Linked DNA regions of Rhinolophus ferrumequinum. The protein of the gene in region 1 interacts with the protein of each later gene in a pairwise test. Links are inferred from orthologs where the notes say so. Each region holds a gene or a part of one and is shown in the gene's direction. Other genes may lie near its edges.

Evidence for each region.
Region 2: the proteins of COPG1 (region 1) and COPZ1 interact in a two-hybrid assay, tested with the Homo sapiens proteins (2 studies listed by BioGRID). The link is inferred for Rhinolophus ferrumequinum from reciprocal best matches to the Homo sapiens genes COPG1 and COPZ1.

What each region holds. Positions count from the first base shown.
Region 1 is NC_046302.1:368,823-376,258, forward strand, and holds the start of COPG1 (coatomer subunit gamma-1), read left to right. Parts: upstream 1-4,364; 5' UTR 4,365-4,476; coding exon 4,477-4,513; intron 4,514-5,453; coding exon 5,454-5,506; intron 5,507-5,975; coding exon 5,976-6,056; intron 6,057-6,266; coding exon 6,267-6,338; intron 6,339-6,522; coding exon 6,523-6,602; intron 6,603-7,436. UniProt on the Homo sapiens protein: The coatomer is a cytosolic protein complex that binds to dilysine motifs and reversibly associates with Golgi non-clathrin-coated vesicles, which further mediate biosynthetic protein transport from the ER, via the Golgi up to the trans Golgi network.
Region 2 is NC_046293.1:54,056,244-54,063,419, forward strand, and holds the start of COPZ1 (coatomer subunit zeta-1), read left to right. Parts: upstream 1-4,129; 5' UTR 4,130-4,168; coding exon of another isoform or gene 4,169-4,186; intron 4,187-7,176. UniProt on the Homo sapiens protein: The coatomer is a cytosolic protein complex that binds to dilysine motifs and reversibly associates with Golgi non-clathrin-coated vesicles, which further mediate biosynthetic protein transport from the ER, via the Golgi up to the trans Golgi network.

The sequences.
Region 1 (7,436 bases):
AGGAAGCAAATTTACAGACATTACCCTTAGTAATATTTTTACTGATATATCCCCTTGGGCAAGGGAAGCAAAAGAAAAAATAAACATGTGGGATTACATCAAACTAAAAAGCTTTTCTACAGCAAAGGAAACCATCAACAAAATAAAAAGGTATCCTACTGAATGGGAGAAGATATTTGTCAATGATACATCTGATAAGGGGTTAATATTCAAAATTTATAAAAAACTCATACCAAAAAAAACCAAGCAACCCAATTAAAAAATGGGCAGAGGACATGAAGAGACTTTTCTCTAAAGAGGATGTACAGGGGCCGGCCCGGTGGCTCAGGCGGTTAGAGCTCCATGCTCCTAACTCAGAAGGCTGATGGTTCAGTTCCCACATGGGCCAGTGGGCTCTCAACCACAAGGCTGCCAGTTCAATTCCTCGAGTCCCGCAAGGGATGGTGGGCTCTGCCCCTGCAACTAAGATTGAACATGGCACCTTGAGCTGAGCTGCCGCTGAGCTCCTGGATGGCTCAGTTGGTTGGAGCGTGTCCTCTCAACCACAAGTTGCCAGTTTGATTCCTTGACTCCCGCAAGGGATGGTGGGCTGCGCCCCCTACAACTAGCAACAGCAACTGGACCTGGAATTGAGCTGCGCCCTCCACAACTAAGATTGAAAGGACAACAACTTGACTTGGAAAACAGGCCTGGAAGTACACACTGTTCCCCAATAAAGTCCTGTTCCCCTTCCCCAATAAAATCTTTAAAAAAAAAAAAAAGAGGATGTACAGATGGCCAAGAGACATATGAAAAAAATGCTCAATGTCACTAATAATTAGAGAAATGCAAATAAAAACCATAATGAGTTACCACCTCACCCCGGTCAGAATGGCTATCATCAATAAATCAACAAACAGCAAGTGCTGGCGAGGATGTGGAGAAAAGGGAACCCTCATGTACTGTTGTGGGGATTGCAGATTGATGCAGCCACTACGAAAACCAGTATGGAGGTACCTCAAAAAACTGAAAATGGAACTACTTTATGACCCAGAAATTCCACTCCTGGGTATCTAACCAAAGAAATTCAAAACACTAATTCAAAAAAATATGTGCACCCCTATGTTTATTGCAGCACTATTCACAATAGCCAAGATATGGAAACAACAGAAATGCCCATCGATAGACGACTGGATAAAGAAACCGTGGTACATTTATACAATGCAGTATTACTCGGCCATAAAGAAGAATGAAATCTTACCATTTGCAACGACATGGATGAACCTAGAGTGAAATAAGTCAGACAGAGAAAGACAAATACCATATGATCTCACTTATATGTGGACTCTAAAGAACAGATTAAACGAACACACAAAACAGAAATAGACTCAGACATATAGGGAAAAAAAATCTGATGGTTGCTAAATTGGAGGGGTGTTGGGACTCTGGGGGAGAAAGTAAAGGGATTAGAAAGTACTAATTAGTAGTCACAATATAGCCACGGTGATACGAAATACAGTTTGGGGAATATAATCAATAATGTTGTCAAGATTATGTAGGTTGCCAGATAGGCACTGTACTTCACAGACTGTGTAGATACCTGACCACTGTGCTATATACCTGAAGCTGAAGTTGAATACTATTGAATGTCAACTATAATTAAATATATATACCATGTTTCCCCCAAAATAAGACCTAACCGGACAATCAGCGCTAATGCGTCTTTTGGAGCAAACATTAATATAAGACCCGGCCTTATTGTACAGTAAGACTAGGTCTTATATAACACCGGGTCTTATATTATTAATGTTTGCTCCAAAAGACACATTAGAGCTGACTGTAAGGTTAGGTCTTATTTTCGGAGAAACGGGGTATATATGGTCATGGGAGGTGGAATACAACATTGGGAATATAGTCAGTGGAATTGTAACAGCTATATTCGATGTCAGAGGGGTAGTAGATTGGGGGCCGTTATCACTTTGTGAGGGTTGTAAATGTCTAACTATTAAATTTTTTTGTAACAAAAAAGGACTTAAAAAATGTATATCCATAAAATGTAATATTATCCAGCAATTAAAAAGACTGAAGCACTGATTCATTCTACGGCATGGATGCACCTTGAAAACATTGTGTAAGTGAAAGAAGCCAGACACACAAAAGGCCACATATTGTGTGATTCAATTTATATGAAATATCTAGAATAGGTAAATCCATAGAGACACAAAGTAGATTAATTAATTAAAAGTAGACACAAAATAGGTTGGAGGGGGGAACTAGGGAGGGGTGTGAGGAATGGAGAATGAATGCTAATGGATATGGATTTCTTATGATGAAAATATTCTGGAATTAGTGGTAAAGAGAACACAATCTTTTGAATATACTGAAAAGCACTGAATTGTACACTTTAAAAGGGTGAATTTTAAAGTATATAGATTTTGTCTCAATTTTTAAAATGCAGTAAAATTAATAAAAATAATATCACAGCTAGGATATTGATATTGGTATAATCTACCAATGTTATTAAGATTTCCCTAGTTTCTCTCTTGTGCTTTCAGTATTCTGTGTTTCTACAAAGGACTTAGCAATTATGAAGAATTATATTACTTTTAAAAATAATAAAAACCCTACGATTATATGTAAACCCATACTTAGAGCTGGAGTTACAACCCACAATTCTCATTGTAATTTCATTACAAAAATTGCCCTTCATATATAGTTTTATAGAACTAATATCATAACACAAAAGGCTATTTTAATTCAACGCAATTTATCTGTATATCACGTTCTTAACACAGCAATATAAATTTCCAGGGTTCTTTTCTGGTTTTTAACCATGAGGCATACTTACTTCATCTTAATTATGAACACTTTTACACCATGCTTTTCTTTTTTAATGTCTCGTTTATTATAAGAAGTTTGCATATTGCCTCCCAAGACATTAGAAATATCCCTTTGTCTATTCACTACGTGTACACTTAAAACTAACATGTTGAATGCCAACTATAATTTAAAAAATAAAAACCAAATAAACAGAAAAGAAATACTCCTTTATAAAAGGGACAGAATATTTCATCCGATGGCTGTACCATAATTCCCATAAATTATCCCCTTATTGTTGGACATTTTGGATGTTTCCAATTTTCTTGCTGCAAACTGCTGCAGTAGGCAACTTTATTTTCTTCTTTTGTATGATTTCCTCCGGATAAGGGGTGGGGTTTCCTCCGGGTAAGGAGAAGGAGAAAGCCTCCTTCTCCTCCCCGCAGGTCTGGGGGCTGGTTACTGATTCAAGATTTTGAACATCTTTTTGGCTCGTGGCAATTTCACCTTGGCGCAACATCTGCTCTCCGCCTCCCCTGCTTCCTGCTAGGCCCCAGCCTCACTCAGCAAAGCATGACCCTAAAGGCTGGCCCCTCCCCCCACATACCCTTTTCTTCTGCTCTGCTGTCACCCTTACCTTCGTCACCTGCGGGCCTCTGCTCCAGATGCTCAGCAGGCCTCCTCCTCCCCGCAGGTCTCGGGGCTGCCTCCTCCCGAGGCAAGTTGGTGCTACGCGTCGCAGCGCACGGCTATCCTGACTCAGCTTTGCCACAACCAGTGCAATTTGGCACGTCGGTTCTCACTGTCCTTACCTTGGCCTCAAGGTGTCCTGCCCAAGTCCCCAGGAAGACAAACCCTGAGTGGTGTTTCATTTTCCCCTTCCCATGCTTTCCCGCCCCCAGCGCTGGGCGTATCTAGTAGGCCCTTGATAAATACCCAAAGTATTTTAAAAGCACATTGAACTTTTTCCATGCTGATCTTTCACTTTAGTTAGATCCCTTAAAGTACAAAACAATCTGCACCAGGAGCAGACATGAATTATAAGAGCAAGTTCATGCATTAATTCATTCAACAAGAATTTACTGAGCACCTACTACATGCCAACATTATGCAGGCCAGTGAATAAAAGACAGTAAAAGCAATATAGTGAAAATAGTGTGTTAGATGGTGATTCGAACTAGGGAGAAACATCAGGCCAGGGTAGAGTGAGGAGTGGCTAGTGAGGCCTCCCTGATAAGGTGACAATAGTAAGAACTGGCAACATTAATTGGGGTCTATTGCGGGACAGTGTACTAGGGCCCTCACTTCCAAAAGCCGTTTAAACTCACGGCACAACGCAATGAGGCAAAGACGACTACTACTCCCATTGCACAGATAAGGAGGGAGTAAGGCGCAAAGCTGGGGTGCCGGTCAGTCCTGAGTCTAAGGCCTCGGCAGTCCCCCAAGGCCTCCACGTCCGCCTATCCCCGGCCTCCGGACCTACCCCGGCGGGGACAGGGTTAACTCCAGACGGGACCTCCCCAGCCGGAATATGCGCTTGCGCAAAGCGCGGAGTGCGCCTGCGCAGAGCGCGGTGCGACGTGGCCAGCCGGAAGTGGCTTAGACGGAACTGTCACCAGACTGAGCTAGCCACGGAAGTCCAGCACAGGGCTGCTGCTTTGCGACCCCGCTGGAACGACCATGCTGAAGAAATTCGACAAGAAAGACGAGGAATCGGGTGAGAGAGCCTAGGCCTGGGTCAGGCTGGACCATCGTGCAGGCTGTCAGCACCCTTCCTAGGAGCCCTCTTTTGGGATTTCTGTCCTCACCCGAGGTCGAGGCCCAGTGAGAGGCAGGGTCTTGTGCAAAGGTCCGCAGCTGGTCAGTGGCAGGCCTCGGAGAGCCCGAGCCACTGTCCTCCTTTCTTAAGCTCGGACCGCGATTCGCTGGGTGACCATGGGGCAGGTCACGCGCCTCTCAGCGCCTTAGCTTCTCCATCTGTACGGGGAGTAGCAGGTGCTCCTTTATTACTTTCCAGTCTGACCTCTTGGGATTCGCCGGGGATGTGTTGGTGCTGGCCAAACTGGGGTATTTTCTGTGGAGCTCATGTCTTGGAGCTGAGAACCTTGACTCGTTCATTTATTCAGCGAATATGTACTGAGCACTTACTACCTGCCAGGAATTGGCATGTGTCCAGCACTTACTGCAGTGTCCTGATACTGCAGGAGGACAAGTGAGACACTCAGTGCCTAAGCTTGGAATAGTAGAATAGTCACAGGTATAATGGAGGAGACAGACAGCAACCAAATAGTAGCACATGTAGTTAATTACAAATGTGACATCTGCTGTGAAGAAGTACTAATCGCTAGGAGGTGGTGGTCCCTATGCAGTAGTAGGGACTCGGTTTAACTACCTTTTGCATAAAGGAATGCAAGACATGACACCATGAAAGGCAAAAAAGGACCGTGCCAGGGCTGTTGGGTGACTTAAGTGCTTTATGGTAGAGGGCGCCCCCTTGCAGGAGAGGGATAGGATCTATATGCAGGTTGTGGTTGCCATTCTGAGTTTAGACTTGACTAGGTAGACAATAGGGACACCTGTCCCTTCTCTATGGGAGAGTTTTGAGATTCAGGGTCACAACTTATACTCACTCAGTCTTTTCTGCTCTCCAACCGCAGGTGGAGGCTCCAATCCATTCCAGCACCTTGAGAAGAGTGCAGTACTCCAGGAGGCAAGTATCATTTGCTCCCCTCCATCTTTCATCATAATGTTTACTATCGATGCAGTTTTAATACTAACACATTGAAAGTTCTGGTTTAAAGAAGAAAGTTCTGGTTTAAAGAATAATAGGAGAGAAAACCTGTTTCTGGAAAGACAGGAAAGCTTTGTTCCTGGAGAGAGTTCATCGTGCTTACATTTTTGTAGTGGTTCTTCATTTCTCTTTCTAGTTAACAAGCATTTAATAATTATCTTTTAGTCAATAAGTCAGTACATTCTTAACTGATATTTAAATTTAAGGAAGATTTCAGCAGTTATTAATAAATCAAAGGAAAAAACTATTTTCTTAGGAAAATAAGCTTGTCTAAGCAAGTGTATTTATTTACCCTGGGACTTCCCAGCCCTTGAATGAGCTTGAGGGCAGTCAATGGAAGGGAAATAAATTGGGCTAGAAGATAATATCCTTGGTCCCTTCTTCTTAGGCCCGTGTATTTAATGAAACTCCCATCAACCCTCGGAAATGTGCCCACATCCTCACCAAGATTCTTTACCTCATAAACCAGGTAACAGGGTCAGGTTGAGGGGTGGAGAAATGGTGTTGGGGGATGTTGCGGGTAGGGGGGAGAAAGTCAAACAGCCCTTAGGCGATTCAACAGCTGCTGTGTGGTTGTAACCAGCAGCCAGGATCTGAGGATTTGGCCTGGGATGATCCAGCAGGAAGAACCTTCTGGACCATCTGTTCAAAATTGAAACTTTTTTCTTGGTTAAAATAGGGGGAGCATCTGGGGACCACTGAAGCAACAGAAGCCTTTTTTGCCATGACCAAGCTCTTTCAATCCAGCGATGTAAGTGCCCCAACCCCAGCTTTCCTTGAGAGGGGATAGCTATGACAGGGTGGTAGGAGCACCAAGGGAAAGTGACCCCACCAGTCAGTGTGGACTGCCTTTACATCTTCTGGAGTTTTCTTTTCCTCACCCTGACCCTCATACTGGGCTAAAGGTTATAGGATGTTTCCTATCTCTTTCCCAGCCCACCCTCCGTCGGATGTGCTACTTGACCATCAAGGAGATGTCTAGCATTGCAGAGGATGTCATCATCGTCACCAGTAGGCAAGTTTAGGGTCTGTGGATGGCTGTTCTGATGGGTTCCATTGATACAGAGGCCATTTTTTCTCATGTGTACTAGACAATGAGACTTTTGATTGACATATTGCCAAGTGTCCTTTCATCTTCTGTCTCCCTCATTCTTCAGTTACAGCTGCCTACCCCATGGCAGCCTCCAGAGTGTGCTGTTTCCCTTTTAATTTTCTGTCCTTAGCTTGGGCACAAACCTTTCTTTCCCTTGATTCCTCTTAGTCAGCTGAGCCAGAATACAACTCTCACAACGACTTTAGTGAGTATCAAGAGAGAACATGAGAAAAATAGACATAGAGAATGCAAGAGGTGTACAAATAGACCTCCTTACTAAGTATTTCTTTCTATCGTAGGCTGAGTGATTTAGGAGACAGATGTGACTAAAGTACAATCCCTGCCTTTGAGAACTGGGGCACAATTCTCTCATTTCTTCTTGTCACAATTTTTTTGGGGGCGGAGGGAGGTGTTATATATTCATTTGTAGATTCATTTAGAAAATATATTTTTGACTGTCTACCAGTCCCTGTGTGTAGCTCTTGGAATAGAACAGCAAACAAGACAAATATGTCCTCTGCAGCATCCCCAGAATTGACAGAGAAATAATCAGATAGTCAGGCGTTAAAATAGGATATATTATGGTTTACCATGGGATGTGTGATGGGCTGTGAGAGCAGATCAGAAGGGCACCCAACTTGAGTTTGGATCAGGAAAGGCCTCCTAGAACTGTCTGAGTGGAGTCCTGAAAGAGGAGTGAGAAAGAGCAGGCCAGAGGTCGGGGGGCAAGGCGTTCCGGGCTAAGGAAACAGCATA
Region 2 (7,176 bases), on another chromosome or scaffold:
ATTTCTTTGACTATTATCTACTTCTGTTCCTCAACCAGAATGCAAGGATTCTATGAGGGCAATGATACGTATTTGTATTGTTCACTGTTTTTATATATCCACTGCTTAGAGGGAGTGGCTAGCCCATGGCTAGCATTTAATAAATATTTGCAGAATGAATGAATGAATGAATGAATGAACAGAATAGAAACATTTCAAACATAGTTATTCATAATTAGCCTTATATTTTTAATGAAAAAATGGAATCATACCACATAAATTCCTCTTTAACTTACTCTTGTCATTTAACATTTCATTACCATTTCTCCAAGTTAATGCATATACCTCTAGCATACTTTTTAAATTTATTGCATTGTTATTCCACAGTCTGGATATACAATAATTTATTCAACTATTCTCCCTTTGATAGACAATGTTATTTTTTGCCATTATAAACAATGTTGCAATAAGCACTCTTATGTATGTGTCATTATGTACTGGATTGTGTTTGTAATTCTCTAGGAAAGGATGTACCCATGTTTAATATTACAGGAACTGCCATAATACTTTCCAAAAGAGAGTAACACTTCCAACTCCCACCATCATCTGGTCCCACTACAGCAGTTACCTACATTTGTATTCAATGCATTTCACCATCTGGCCACAAAGTACCTTTCCAGTTTTATCTCCATCCCCTTCCATACTATTTCTTTATTTATCCTCTGTCCCATGAAACCAATCCCTCAAAGATTTCTTACATTACACAACACTGAAGACATTGTGTTAAGTGAAATAAACCAAATACAAAAGGACAAATATATGATTCCACTTATATAAGGTACTAAAATAGTCAAATTAAGAGACAGGAAGTAGAATAGTGGTTACCAAAGTCTAGGGGGCAGGGGAGAATGGGGAGTTATTGTTTATTTAATGGGTATACAATTTCAGTTTGGGATGATGAAAAGTTCTGGAGATTGATAGTGGTGATGGCTGTATAACAATGTGAATATGCTGAATGTCACTGAACTGTACACTTAGAATTGGTTAAAATGGTATAAACTTTATGTTACATATAAAAGTAAGTAAAAACATTTTACAATTAAAAAAAAGAAAAATATTTCTTGCACATCCCAGACTCCATTCCTTTATTCATACCAAACCCTACCAGTCATTTCATCAATGCATGAATAAATCAAGGCCAAACTCAACAGCCCTTCTCCTGGATCTTGACTCTCCCACCCAAATCCCCAGGGATCACTTCCTCTCAATATCTGTACCCTTTATTTGGCATTTAATCCTAAACTGCACTTCGACACTGCTCATTTATCTTTGTATCTTGCATTTTCACAAATATTCATTCTATTCAGCAAACACTACTTGAGTATTTACTATTTGAGGGCTAGATGCTAAGTAAATAAAATGAAAGGGACAAAGCACTGCCTCAGATGACAAGTCTGATGAGTTAGATTGATGTATTAAAACATGACTATAACCAGAGTCGATGATGGCAGAAATGAGGAAGTGTCCAAATCTACCTGGGCATATCAGGGAAGTATTCATGGGGAGAAGATGTTGATTTTGTCCTTTAAAAAATAGCTTGTTTTTCTCCTTTTAAAATAGCACCCATGCATTTTAGAACACCTAGAAAATATGAAAACATTGAAAAAAGTCCTAGCACTTTGAACTAGCCACTGGTTACATTTTTGGGTATGTCCTTCCAGTCTTTTCCTCCACACAATAACACACACACACACACACACACACACACGGTCGATCCTTGAACTACACTGGGATTAGGGGCTGACCAATACCTCATGCGGTTGAAAATCTATGTATAACTTTGACTCCCCCAAAACTTAAATTACTAACAGCCAACTGTTGATCGGAAGCCTTACAGATAACATAAACACTTGATTAACAAATATTTTGTATGTTATATGTATTATATATTGTATTCTTACAATAAATAAGCTAGAGAAAGAATATGTTATTAAAAAAATCATCAGAGAAAATACATTTACAGTATTTATTTAAAAAAACACATATCAGTGGACCCACTCAGTTCAAACCCGTGCTATTAAAGGGTTAACTACGTGTGAGTGTGTGTGTATACATATGGTTGAGGGAACATATGTATTTTTCATTTGATTGGTTCTTAAAGGTTTTCCAGCTGAAGGTGAGATGGAAGCAAATGAAACAAGAATGATCATAGAACTTTAATGCTGGGTAAGGAGGTAGGGCCCTAGAAAGCTCTGGTCTGAGACTCCCCATTTTCGAGAAGTGGCAGCTGTAGTCTGGAGAGGGTATTGGTACTTGTCAAAATTCTCTCACTTGTTAAGGCAAAGTCAAAACAAGAACTAATGTCTCCCATTCAGTTAATTGTTTTCCCCCCACTGCAGTTACGCAATAGGTTGGAGAGCTAAGAATCAACCCTCTTCTGGAACAATGTCTGAATGTTAAGATTTGTCAGTACACAAAGAAAGAGGAGCTAACCCCCTCCCCCAAACCAGCCACACCACATATTTTTCTCCTCATGGTCCCTATAGAACATCTGGTGTAGGGTACTTCAGGTAGGACTAGGTAGGATACAAGAGAGGCTGTACCACAAGTCAGAGTGGATTGTGGGTAAGAACATGGGAATCCTTAGCATGCATAGGATTGTAAGTAAGCACATGGTTTTAGAACCAGACCTCCTATGCTCAAATGTATGGCTGCCAGTGAATACTTGTATGGCCTTAAGTAAATTATGTAATTGCTCCCAGTTCCACCAGTCCCATCATAAGGGTTTTTAAAAATATTAAATAATAAATCCAAAGATTTAGCATGTGTCTGGCCCATAGTAAATTGTCAATAAATGTTAGTATTATCATTAAGCTGCCAAGCCAAGGACAATCTTGTGATGCCAGGCATAAAGCTAAATGTTTGAGTATCTCCCCATTTGGAATAGATAAAGGCTTCTTCAAGATATGAGCCTTGTCACCTCGGATTTTACCAGAAAATCATATACCTTCCTTTAGAGCAAATGTCAGCTCTGTAGTTTGTTTTGTATTGTTATACTTTTCTCTTAGGCCCTCTGACTCTACTCTGAAATTATTAGAAAAACTCATGATTACGTTTGAATCATGGGAGAGCTTCTGAATCATGGGAGAGCGTCTTGGGAGAGCTTCTAAAGAAATAATGTCAGAGACAGAAAAAACAAAATCCCTTTGGGGATAACACAAGGCAATAGAAGGTGTCCTTGACCTAAGGGGAGGTAAGGGACCAAGGAACAGAGGGGTAGGGGAAAGCTAAACTTCATCAGAACCCTTCCCTATTGTGAAATCCCTGCATTCAGTAAACTTCTCTTTTCTCATTTTGCAACGGCTTGTCCTTACTGAACGACCGCAGACCCTGCTCCCCATACCCTTCCTTATCCTGGACCCTTTACCCCTCTGTCCCTCCTACTCTCTCCTCTCTGGTTTCCAAAACTCTTAACATCCCAGTTTACTTGCGGCCAAAGAAATCTGCTTTTAGAAACTCAGTGGGTCATTCCCTGGGACTCCACCTTGGGAAGATTGTTACTGTAGCAATCAACTTTCTGGAGACTTTGGTTTATCTAGTTAACACCTTGGGCATCCCTTGGCTTTATTCTATGGTTGGGCAGACTTTCTGCGAGGATGCTCAAGTGATCTGAGCGAGTCTGAGGAAGAACTAGCAGTGTTTGCCAAAGCAACCGTGAACATCAGGGACCTAATCGGAGTTCTTGGAATGCGGATTAGGGTAGGATTCTGCCAAGAGCTGCCAGTGTTAAACGTTAAGGAGACATAGCGCCCCCTAAAGGGAGTGCGGATTAAAGTGGCTAACCCAGGCTTACGATATCACGTGCTCCCCGCCCTGCCAATTGAAAATTAATATTCGCTTCCTCTGTTCCCCATGGAAACAACCCCGCCCCATTGACTCTCCCGCCCCATTCAGTCGTGAGATTTTGGCGTTTTATTGAGTGTTTAAACTGACAATCAAATACCTGCGCCTTCTGGCTGGAGACCTTGCTTCCGCAAAGCAAACTAGCACTCTGATTGGTCAATAGAGCAATAGCTGGCACCCCGTAGTCCAATAATCCCCATCCTGGGCGGGGTCGAACGAGGACGTAGGGCCAATCAGCGGCCGCGTTCTTTTTGCGGCTCCACGTCGGCACCAGCTGCGGGGCAAGATGGAGGCGCTGATTTTGGTAGGAGCCGGGGCAATCGAGATGCTACGGTGTTAGAGGGGTCGGGAGTCGGGGTTCAACCTGACTGGAAGTGGGTAGATACGGGAGTTCCGGGTAATCCTCCGGGACCGAAGGTTCTGCCGGCCCCTGGAATAAGGGTGTGGCCTAGTGCAGGAGCTAGAACCTCGGTTTAGAGTAGGGCACAGTCGGAGAAGAGGGCAGAGTCGGTGGAAAGTTGAAGGGAGCACACGGGGTCCTTGGGACGCATAGGATCATAAGCCTACTGGATTGAGGTCCTTCAGGTTCCCCCGATTCTGAGCATTGTGGATGATATTCTGATTTGAGTTTCTCCAAACTCGCCCCAAATTGTAAGAATGGAGTGCAGGTGTTTGTCATCACAGGCTTCTCCTGTTGGTTGTCACAGTTTGATACTCCATTGATAATTCCCCGTCACATTCTTTCAGAAAACTATTCTTTTTGCTTGGTTTCCTGTTAATCCCTTTTATATAGATGTGTCATGATAAAGAAAGAATCAGTATTCCATCAATGTTCTGGAATGCTTGATGGAGTTAGCATGGATTGTGGAATATTTTTTCAGACTCCTTATTCTGGTCTCCTTTTCCCTACCCATTTAAACTTTAGGAATTCTTATTGTAGGATCTGGGATGCTAACTCTCTCTGGTGAGAGAGAGAGAGGAGAATTTTGGTGTTTAAAGGGGTGTATTAGCTCCCTTGTCCATATGATCCTTTTAGCTTGTTCAAACAAATAAAGCACTATTATTCCTTCTTTAGACCTGGACCACAGCATTTCTCTCAGAAGTACCTGTTTTGCAACTAGGGGAGATGTTAACAGAGATCTGCGTGTAGGAATTTAGTTCCCACTTCCTTCTTTACTTGAGTTGAACTCAAGGCCTCTGTCATGCAGGGTGTCATGCGGGGTCTCAGTTCCCGCTCCCAGCCCAAGAACGCAGGATATGGTGAGACCAAAAAGGAACACCAACGGAGCCATAGATAGGGGAGTCATAGCACTATATTCTCCATGGCGGCTGGGTTGGAGACACAGGAAGCAGGATCCACACCATGTGCAACCCGCCGTCCGCTTCTCTGCCAGCCAACCTCACTTGTTAACTGCAATCCGCAATCTGCGCTTGTTAGCTTAGCCACAGCAGTTATATCAGTGGCTAATGGCTAACCGGTAACAGCTGATGGCCAACTAGTCACAGCTGATGGCCATCTACTACCTGAGCCAGCACCTTTCCACGTGAGGCCGGGAGCCTGGAAACTGCTCTCCTGGCTCTGTCTGCACAGCCTCTTTTTTGTCTTTGTCTTTCCTTCAATTCTAATACATGTACACATTCAGATCCTCATCAGGTAAAAGAGAATAACAGATTTCAGTTCCCCTCTTTGAAAATGGCAAAGATAGAGATAATTCCTTCTCATCATATGGGTTGGTCAAGCCTAGATATTATAGAAAGCTTAAAACGGAGTACTTTTTAATAAGATATTTTCTGTACCACGCACTTGAACAGTATTCTTAAGCAGTTAACAGACTGAGATAAGTTCAGGGGAATTGGTTTCTTTTGAAGTTTTTGGAAATTTTTAGACTGCTTCCTTGCTGGTGCCTGGCCCCCTGCATTTCGTTAAGAGAAGCAATCTCTTCTTTAGAAAGGAGCCTGTTTACAGGTAAAGAAAGCAGTGAGGGAGATGATACTTAGGGAGCTGTTTTAACCAGAGATCTGTGTGTAGTGGTGAATTGAGGCAGTTATACGTGAAAGTCTTTCACATTTTCTGTTAAACCCAGGTTCTCTGTCTCTGCTTCCTCAGTGAAGTGTATTTCAACCTGCTGCTTTTTTATATCCATTTTAATCTGTACCTAAGATGCAGCATTCACAGAGCCATGCTAACCGGTCAGGTACCCCTGAACTTTGCTTTAAAAACCATACTGATTCTTTGTCATGACAAACTTATATAGTGGGGACAAACCAAGGTATAGGGAAAAGGGCTTGCTCAAGGAAGTATAATGTCAAAACTAGATTAGATTTTGATTCCTAATCCCATACCAGTTGTCTCTGTTATCTCATCGTCGGCTTCCACTTCTTTAATATACAAAACTGTACTTTTGACCATCAGTTATATAAAGCTTTTGTTGGGGACAAAGTACCAACAGGTATCAATTCTTATGCTGGTGTCTCCAGCGTTCTTAGAATATTAAACTAGTATTTCCCTTCCTCCGTGTCAGCTCTTTCCCACATTTTATTCTCTTTACAATTTCAATATTTTGGGCTCCTAATTACGAATTTATATACCTTTCTCATCATTCCAGCTCTTCTCAACTGGAGTTCCAGGAAAGAATTAAGCCCTAATGACTTAAGGTATTCATTGTATGTAATGAACCAATTTCTGTCCTCTGTAACCGCAATGGCACTAGTTTTGTTCCGTCTTTGGGAGAAGTGAGAAAATAGTCACTTCAATAATTATCAGTATTCAGTGGTTCAGATGTAGAATCCTAGTTGAGAATCAGGTGATATTTTCTAAGTTTTTCTTTCTCTGCTCACTACCCTCACATACTAGCCCACAAAATTTAGCTCTATCTGATTCAGAATTACTCTTCCTCACTGTTCCTTTTAATCTCTTCCCCTCTTCTGTCTACTCAGGAGTATCGCATGAGTCTTAGGTTGCCATGTTCATTATGAAAAATGTAAAGAATCCCTGGACCTTACCTTAGCTCTGTACTGAACTAAAGAGTTTAGTGTACCTGGATAGTATTTAACAAGCCATTCCTTAGAAAGGGAGACACCTTCTAAAGTTCTTTTAGGCTTCCTCCTTTCACATTTTTATTTCCTGGTTTGGCTGGACCTCTGGGGAAATCTGATCAGAGCATATTCTTCTATCCTCACCTCTACAAGGCACCCAGCCATAGAATATTGAGAAGGGAAGGGTAAGCTAGAGGCGGTCAAGAAGAACCATCAATCGAAATTTGATCTGACTGGGTATTTCTAAATACCAATCGG